2 linked regions of the Danio rerio genome follow. The protein of the gene in region 2 purifies or fractionates together with the protein of the main gene of each other region. This does not show direct contact. Links are inferred from orthologs where the notes say so. Each region holds a gene or a part of one and is shown on either strand. Other genes may lie near its edges.

Region 1 (5,061 bases), on a different chromosome or scaffold from region 2:
GCATAGCAACTGAGATTAAAAGATCTGTTCAGCTCTCTGTGATCATCAATCATCACCAAATGTTATTAAGAGTGAGTTTTACAAGTTAAAAAACTTTTTTAAAACAGTGCATGTTTGTAAGAAATTACAGCAATTTTACCATCTTTACTTGTAACCACAGCCGCATGTCAGTACAATTATAAAAGAAGCTTCAATCTCGGTTTGTGGACGTTAAATCAGGTTTATTTTGTACATTAACATTACAGATATCGATATAGCAGTGGATAATAACATGTATCCTCTCACATTCGCATTGCAAAATCAGTGCAAAATTCAACACGAGTGCTGTGTGTGTGTGTGTGTGTGTGTGTGTGTGTGTGTGTGTGTGTGTGTGTGTGTGTGTGTGTGTGTGTGTGTGTGTGTGTGTGTGCGTGTGTACACTTTGTAATAAAACTCTGTGTGACTCATCGAAAGGCTTAAATAAACTCCACAACAAATACATAAAAAATAAGCATCAGTAAAGTTCTTACTGTAGTATTTCTCACAAACATTACGTGAGATCTGCTTCCTTCTTGTCTGTCACTGTGCTGTTTATCTGACTCAGCTGAGATTGTGGCACACTCTGACAAGTTTGGGAATGGTGGGCGGGGAGAACTAGCATTAAAGGCACAGGCAACAAAAACAGCTACAGTTTGTCCAGAGCAGAAAATATCCAGAAAGGTATAATAAATAATCTGATGGTTGTTTTGAGCTGAAACTTTACAGACACATTCTGGAGAAACAAAAGACTCATCTTAAATCTTGAAAAAGTGGTAAAATAGGTGCCCTTTAAAGTTGCACAGTTCCAAAAAAGAAATACATTTATTAACCATTTACTCAATCTCAAGAGGGTAAAGCGTTTATGAGCATCTTACATCTGCTGAACACACACAGACTATTATAGAAGTTATATATGCAAAACACAATTACTATATCACTAATACTTATAGATTCAATGGGTATCGCCAACTGTTTTATAATATTGTACATTTGTATGATTGTAAATCTGTTTTGTAAACTTAACCTAGACACTAAAACAGGACCTGGTTTCACCCTGACACATTTTGCATGGCCTGATTCATAGCATAAGTTCAGGAAATGAAAATATTTTGCAGGATGTCAATTCAGCTGAAGGAAAAGAAAACTTAAATCTAGATTATTAAGGGTGTACTGTAATAACAGTCAATCAGACATTAATTTTAAGGGGGGGTCATATCTTCGCAGTGTTGTGACCCTGCTTGAATTGGCACAATTTAGGCTTGGGTTTATGTACAGAGCCATTAACCTTTTCAGCTGTCACCAGATTCATTCTCAGTGCTAAACACGTGGGTAAGGAATACTGTCCTTCTGTATTTGAATGTCACTCCCGGAGGAGCGTAAAATGTGATTTATACCCTCACGTCATGTGCGGCCGAATGTTCTGAGTTTTCTGGTTGATAACCTCGATCTCCTCTCTAAATACAAAAACAAGCCCTTGCCCTTTAAGGTTGTCAGGGGAAACCGGCTTCCCAGATCGAGGCGCATTGACGTCAATCGTTGTTTGTGATTGGTCATAACCTTTTCCGGTGAGGCGTCCATCCATCCAAGGACTGTGAGAAAATCAGTGTAAACGGAGTAAAGCACGTCGACAAACTCCTCGAAGCGACTCAGGTATGAATATTTAAATACAGCGGCTTTTACTGTAACGTTTGATGATGTCGATACGCGAGCTGACAAGCTCGTAGAGACGTTAATTTAATGCCATCGGCTTCCGTTGTTGTGATAATGTAGTTTGCAAGATGGCGTATTTTGCTGCTTGACAAAACTGGTTACAAAAAACACAGAGCTGGAAGAAGCTGCAGGATTACGCCGATCAACACTTTAACATTGACTCAATGAAGTCTAGTTATATTGGAATATGTTTTCTGGACCAAAATGGTTGTTTTCGCATGACCGAATGGCGTAATGTTGAGAAATGCCTGTGGGGATGCGAACTGCGAATTTTATGAGCTCAGGGGCCCCGACAGGAACCAGGAGCCATAGCATGGCTGTCAAAAATCAACAGTTAGATGAAAGTTCAGTATATATCGCTTTTGTGTGGTGTCATTGTAAGTTAAAGTAGAGATTTTAGACTAGATATGCGATGTAAGATTTATGTTAGTTTGTTTCAGTTTGACAACACGTTTGGAAGCTTGTAACATTTAGTATTAACAGCAACATCACTATCTGCTAGCATGGATTTATGATAGATTTGGTTATGACCTGGATGTTTCACGTGGGGTTTAATCCAGAGGACTTCCACTGTCATGAAAGACATTTTGAAATATAAATAAAAAGACCAGAAAGATGCATATCTATACAGAAAACTTTGAATGTTTTACACATTTAGTTTTTCTTCTTTTTTCACACATTTTTTTAATCTTCTTAATTTACACATTTAACTTCTCTGTGCAGGTAGAAATTCATTAGATGTTAAAAAGTTACAATTTCTCATAAATATTTGCAATCCATATCCTTCTCGTTTATTTGATCTTGTAAGCACTTTACAGCTACACATGTACTAAAGTGCTGTACAGTCAGTAGACATGGGCCGGTGTAAGATTCTGACACTATTATACCCTTAGATGAAAACATCACAGTTTCAAAAACAAAAACTTTTTTTTTCCCCTCTTTGAACACATTTTATTTTGAGAAACATTTTAAGTATTTTGGAGCAGTGAACATGTCAGGATAAATATTATAAATAAATCGTAGACTTCTGCTGTTTTATTAGTTTCAAAAACACAAACTTCTGGACCATTTGAAACACCACTTTTGGGTATCTTTTCTGTTGGAGATACTGCTGTCCTAAAAAACAAACAAAAAAAATTATTAAAGAAATCTTGCATATACCGCAGGAATGGTATAGCAAAAACATTTGACAGGTAAAAAAAAATGACTTTTCCAACTACGGTATACCTTGAAAACAGTTATTGTCCCATGCCTACAACAAACAAATGTATAAAACTAAACTCAATAAGGACTGATTAAAAAAATGGATGCAAACTTTCAATGTAAGTAACTGCTCTGATATACCACAATGGCAGATCTCTAGAAAAAATTTAAATGAGAACTTCACACTGAAAATTAAAATTTAATTATCCTAACAGAAATATTTGAGTTCAACCACTGACTATTAAAAGGAAAGTTAGTATAATTAGCAAATTGCTTTCAGCAAGTCATGAGACAAGTTTTTCTGCAGTAATGTTTTATTTACATGAGAAAATAAAGAGAAAATTAATAATCTGGAGAAGCAAAAGCATCAAACTGAAAAGAGCTCGTGCCATAGATATTATTGTGACGTTGTTTGAGTAACGTTTTGTTAAAATACCAAGTGTATTAATTTGATTTATTTTCATGAGAGTTAAATATGAAGTGCAACAGAATAAATACCTCTCATTCAAGTTTTATTACAGATATGAATCTGAAATTCAACTTCATTATTTGAAATGATGAAAGTTTAAGGCCAAAACTAGTAATACCACCCATATTTTTAAAAACACAGTAGGCACATTCTGGAAAAGGTGGATCTTAATCACTAAAAATGATAATAAATGTTTGATAAAATTGCAGAAAGGTTTGTGTAAGGGTAGGAGAATAGAAAATAGGATTCCCCTATGGATATGTTAATATGACTGTTATATCAAAGTAAAGACATGATAATGACAAAAGATGTATGTATAGTAAGTGTTTTAAAAGATGCCACAAAAATCCAAATTTATTCCCGTATGCTTGATATACGACACAATATTTATATATGGACAGTGGACAGGAAATGAAGTGGGAGAAAGGGGGTGCAGGATTACGAAAGTTCCCTGAGCCATGACTTGGGTTGGAGCGCTGCCAATGAAGCTGCTGACTCCAGATGCCTGATTTTATTAGTGTCTTGAACTGTTTTCTCTGAAAGTCTCAGCAGTACAAAAACAATTGTTATATTGAGTAATTCTGTATTTAAATTCTTTATGCAATGAAAACTCATCATGTTTACTTTAATAAAGCACATTATTATTCGTGTGGTGGATAGTTTATATGTGCCAGTCCAGAGAAAAATTATATTTATTTTTAAAATCTACAGTTAAAATCTGAAAATAATGTTTCACTCAAGAACAATGTTCTGTGTGAAGTTAGTTTGATGGCTTGGCGAGAACACCCTTTAACCACTTCCTTCCAGCTGCACATAAATGGAGCCCAAAACCTTTAATGAGTAATTAGTTACTCAGAAACCGTTAATGTAAAATTAAATGATATATTAGAATTTACAGTGAAATAAAAACTTATTGCATCAAAGGCATTTATTTTCTTTCCTCCATTCAAAGAACATGTGTGACTGTGAACTGGAAATACACTAAAGATGACTTAGTAAAAGTCTCCAAAAATGAAAATTCCCAAAAAAATTACTTGCCAATGTTGTTTCAAACTCATAACTTTACCATACCTAGGACATGTTTGATGAGATGTTTGTTCATAGGTTTGTTTGTCCTTCTATTGACAGGCCATGCAACAACCACTTTCAAGTGCCAAATTTTTAGTATAAAAGTAAAACTTTAGTAAGGTTTACATGAGCTATATTCATATTCTAATGAGGTGATGCAATGCTTTTTGTGTACAAAATAAAATAACTTCTTTCAGTTTCGTCATGTCTACATTCTGACACATGTTGAGCTCCATGAGGAATTTGTTGTGTTGACCTGAGCACAGATATTCTAACAATACAGTGCATCCAGTTGATGCCGTCTACTGTGGAAAGATAATACTGTATAAAACTTTCTTTCTCCCTGTTGTTTTGCATTTCCTCAATGGCAAACCAAGGGAAACCTGTGCAAGTATGTGAAACTGACACCACCAGATGAAAGCTTTAATGTAACTCATTCCCCAGTAAATGATTCTGAGGCTGCTGTTCTTCAGGATTTTAGTTTCCTCATATGACACATCAATTTAACCCTTTTAAACAGTGAGGAAAAAATAAGGTTGGACTATTGGAGTCACATGCTTTAATTATGTTTTTACAACATTTCTGGTTCTTGA
Region 2 (4,367 bases):
CTAGAGCACCATCTGTTTTAAAATAATAATAATAATAATAATAATAATAATAATAAAATAGCCTAGTGCATAATCTTCTGTTTCAAAATAATAATAATAAAATAGCCTAGTGCATAATCTTCTGTGAAAAAACTAGCCTAGAGCACTATCTGATCTTAAAAATTAGCCTAGAGCACTAACTGTAGTTAAAACTAGCCTAGAGCACTAACTGTGGTTAAAACTAGCCTGGAACACTATATGATGTTAAAAACTAGCCTAGAGCACTATCTGTAGTTAAAAACTAGCCTAAAGCATTATCTGCTGTTAAAAAAACTAGCCTAGAGCACTATCTGTAGTTAAAAACTAGCCTAAAGCATTATCTGCTGTTAAAAAAACTAGCCTAGAGCACTAGCTGCTGTTAAAAACTAGCTTACAGCACTATCTGCAGTTAAAAACTAGCCTAGAGCACTATCTGTACTTAAAAACTAGCTTACAGCACTATCTGCGGTTAAAACTAGGCTAGAGCACTAGCTGTAGTTAAAAACTAGCCTCGATCCTCATCTGCTGATTAAAAAAAAAAAAAAAACTAATAAGGGTTTTGCCAAGAAGAAATGTTCTGTCTATGTTCACAAAATTAGAGCCGTGTTAAAAAAATTGCTTACAAAATTGATTTTGTGAATTTCAAAATGTATCACTAATCTTTTGTTTTTTCACAACAGATGGCTAGTTTTATTACTAGTTTATTTTTTTTCTATGCATTTTGGCTGTTTGTCCAGACTTGAATCACACAACTTAGTGTAAGGAGACTGAAACTGACAACTTCTGAAAACTCCGGGTACAGTGTGGCCATGTTGACACTATAACCAAAGTTTTTCCCTAATAATGTGTTTTCTCCTTTGTGATTGGCCTTTGTGATTGGCCTTTCTCCTTTGTGATTGGCCTAAACCTTTTCTAACATTTTTGACTGTTTTAGGTTCATGTGGTATTTATAAGAAATTGGATGCAAGAAGTGTTCAGCAGCTTAAAAAGCATTCAGCTCCATCTGCTGTATAAAAACTAAATTGATTTAAGAGAGAATAACAAGGCATTTTGAAAATTCAGAATCAAAGCAGAGTTGACTTCTCTAACACTTTTTCACCTCAGCATGACGTTGTCAACAAAAGACAGTTACAGTGTTTGAGGCCATTTGTCACCATTTAGGGAAAACCATACAGTGTTGATATGCTAATTTTCATCATTGTATATAAAGTTTCCTAACCAATGGCTTGCGATTTTCAAAAGTTCAAAATCAACTCTGTATTCAAATAGCATTGCGATGTTACATTCAGTGTTGCATTAATAGCTTGTTCATCCTAAATATAAGTGTGCTATAAAAACAAATCACTTTAAAGATGGCAGCACTGTTGTGAATAGATTCAAATCATAAACAAAATGTAACATTTTGTTCAATTTTAACCAATTCTGGATTCAATATCCCATGCACAAAGAATTCAGGAAAAAAATATAGATACAGTAGAGAATTGTTTTGGAATCAAAAAGTGACTCAGAATACGGTCAGATTATGAAGTCCCATCCCTACTTAAGGATCTGGCACAAACATTTCAGCAGTTCAGAATTGATTCTTTCTTTTAAGATACAATGACCTTATTTGACACAAACTTTGATGTAGGGCTGGGTGATTTGGCCTAAAATTAAAATCTCAATTAATTGAACATTTTAACTTGAGCACAATTAATGAACGACTATTTTATTAAATTTGTTTGTACATTAAATATACTCACTAATTACAAGTGAGATATTTTGGAATGGAGGGTGCATTACTTGATTTTAAAATAACCGAAAGAAATAATCTGACTTCTGAAATCTATCTATGATTATTTATTAAACATCAATGTTGAACAATTGAAATTAAAACACACATTGCCTAAAACCAACAGTCATTTTTTTCTTATAATAAAAAAATGAAAATAAATAACTCGCACTTTTGGATACAAAACTAATTATTTTTAATGTTTTCCATTTTTAAAGTAGAAACAAAGCAGCATCTCTTCTAAATAAAATAACTCTTGTATATCCTGTAAATAATATTTTAAACAGTGCATTTCTTGAATCTTCTGTAAAGAAATTTTTAATGTAAATAAGAGTTTTATTGTAAAGAAAAATATGCCATCTTTGGCACAGCTTCCAATCATCGTCACTGTAGTGCAAACGTGTAATGTATACTTAAATTTTTTGAGAGGTGCACTTAAATACGACCGCACGAAGGCTGCACCGGACCATACCCGTGCGTTCAACATAGAAGTTTAAAGTATAAAGCCTTAACTGAGCAGGGTCATGTGACTCCACACGTGGTAGGGAAAGTAATTGAAAAATTTGACCTGGAAAAACTTGATCGATCATAGGTACTGAATGTCGATTTTGATTAATTGTTCAGTCCTTCTTTGATGTTTAAAACTTTGACGACCTCCTCAAACAGCAACATTACAGATTGCAGTATGGATAAATGTTCAAAAGGCGCATAATAAGGGCACAATAAAAGAGTTCCTTTGCAACTTCATGCACATTAAAAAACACCCATATGGAAGTCTGAAATGCATGACGGTGTGTGTGATCCTTACTTCTGACAGACACTGCGGTTCTTTATTATGCAGCTCCACTACCACATTGCACAGCTCCTTTTTGTGTTTCAACAAACTCTTCAGGCACGGGTTTGAGCCCTCACGGATGGTCTGATCAAAGAAATATAAAGTATGTTAGAAACTGCAGGAGATTCCCACAAAAAATAACACCACAGATATGTTTTAGGAGAAAAAAAACTTCAATCAACAGCATACCTCTTTCTTCATGGTGGCACGGCTCTTTATTGGGATACCTCTGATCCGTGCACAGGCGTCCATGATGTTGCTTGGCTGGACAGGAGGTTCTCCTCTCCTTTAAGACAAATCAGCCCATTTAATTATCACATCTCATAACAATTGTCAATTAGGCTACAAATAATTCCATAGACTCTACAGTAGCTACATTAACATGCACTCAAACAATCTGTTTATAAATGGATTGACAGCTCATTAAAACTGGAAAGTCTTATGAATCACTTTCACTCATTAATTGCATTTTAACTGGATTGGACAACGCGACACAGATTTAAAATAATATGAGCAAAGAGAAAACAGGCAAAATTCAGACGACACGTATGGTAGTTAAGTTTTTTTTTTTTTTTTAAAGATGTCATTAAGTTTATAAGAAAAGCATATATTCACATGGAATAAAATAATCTCAAGGGCTTTTTGGTTTGAGAATATTGCAATTGCAACTAGAATGTTTGCATTGTATGCTCATAAATTGTGTTTGGAAAATAAATATTCATGCAAATTGGATTAGAAAGTTTAGGGTTCATATACAGTAAGCAGAACATTTTCTGAAATTGGAATGGATTCACAGAAGGAAACTGGCACATGTAAGAACACAAAACTCAAAGGTTCACAGAAAGATAAAGACCCCAATGACTGCATGTACAACAACAGATTGTTCAAAATGTCTTTTGTTGTTTTATAAGAGTTTAAAAATATAAGAGTTTTTAAAACACAAGAGTATTTAGAAAATTATTTAGTATTTACATTTACATTTAAAGCAGGGTCTCTGCAGGTTCCATCAAACAAATTTAAAGGGCGCCAATGATAAACTTTTGTAAGCTGTTTGGACAGAACTGTGTGTAGGTATACAGTGTATACCAGTCATATCCACATATCCACTGTATACACATATACAGTGTATCCACTGTCATATTGGAGTGATCGAAACCCGACAAGTCTCTTTTTAGGACCCAAATCTCAGTGATTTCAAGGCCCATTTCAACGTGATGTAGGAGTGTGGTTTTCCCCACCCACTGAATTAATTGACAGGCACCATAATTACATGTATACACATGTCCACAAAAAAAAAAAAAAATCATAAAGAAACCGGGATTAACATATCTGTTCAAATCTTTGTGATTTTTATAAGTCTTCATTCATTCATTCATTTTCTTGTCAGTTTATTAGTCCCTTTATTAATACGGGGTCGCCACAGCAGAATGAACCGCCAACTTATCCAGCAAGTTTTTACGCAGCAGATGCCCTTTCAGCCGCAACCCATCTCTGGGAAACATCCAAACACACACTCATACTCTACGGACAATTTAGCCTACCCAATTCACCTGTACCGCATGTCTTTGGACTGTGGGGGAAACCGGAGCACCCGGAACGCCACACAGAAACGCCAACTGAGCCAAGGCTCGAACCACCGACCCAGCAATCTTCTTGCTGTGAGGCGACAGCACTACATACTGGGCCACTGCTTCGCCCTTTTATAAGTATTTTAGGTTTAAAAGATTTTGTTTTTGGAATTTA

Evidence for each region. The genes of interacting proteins can lie anywhere in the genome.
Region 1: the proteins of akap11 (region 2) and prkar1aa purify together in Homo sapiens (affinity purification with mass spectrometry; 3 studies listed by BioGRID and IntAct, counting the BioPlex papers as one, with this or other methods). This does not show direct contact. The link is inferred for Danio rerio from reciprocal best matches to the Homo sapiens genes AKAP11 and PRKAR1A.

The regions. Positions count from the first base shown.
Region 1 is NC_133178.1:35,127,701-35,132,761, reverse strand, and holds the start of prkar1aa (cAMP-dependent protein kinase type I-alpha regulatory subunit), read left to right. Parts: upstream 1-1,570; 5' UTR 1,571-1,668; intron 1,669-5,061. UniProt on the Homo sapiens protein: Regulatory subunit of the cAMP-dependent protein kinases involved in cAMP signaling in cells.
Region 2 is NC_133184.1:19,606,147-19,610,513, reverse strand, and holds part of akap11 (A-kinase anchor protein 11), read right to left. Parts: intron 2,915-4,367; 5' UTR 2,877-2,914; coding exon 2,814-2,876; intron 2,709-2,813; coding exon 2,598-2,708; intron 1-2,597. UniProt on the Homo sapiens protein: Binds to type II regulatory subunits of protein kinase A and anchors/targets them.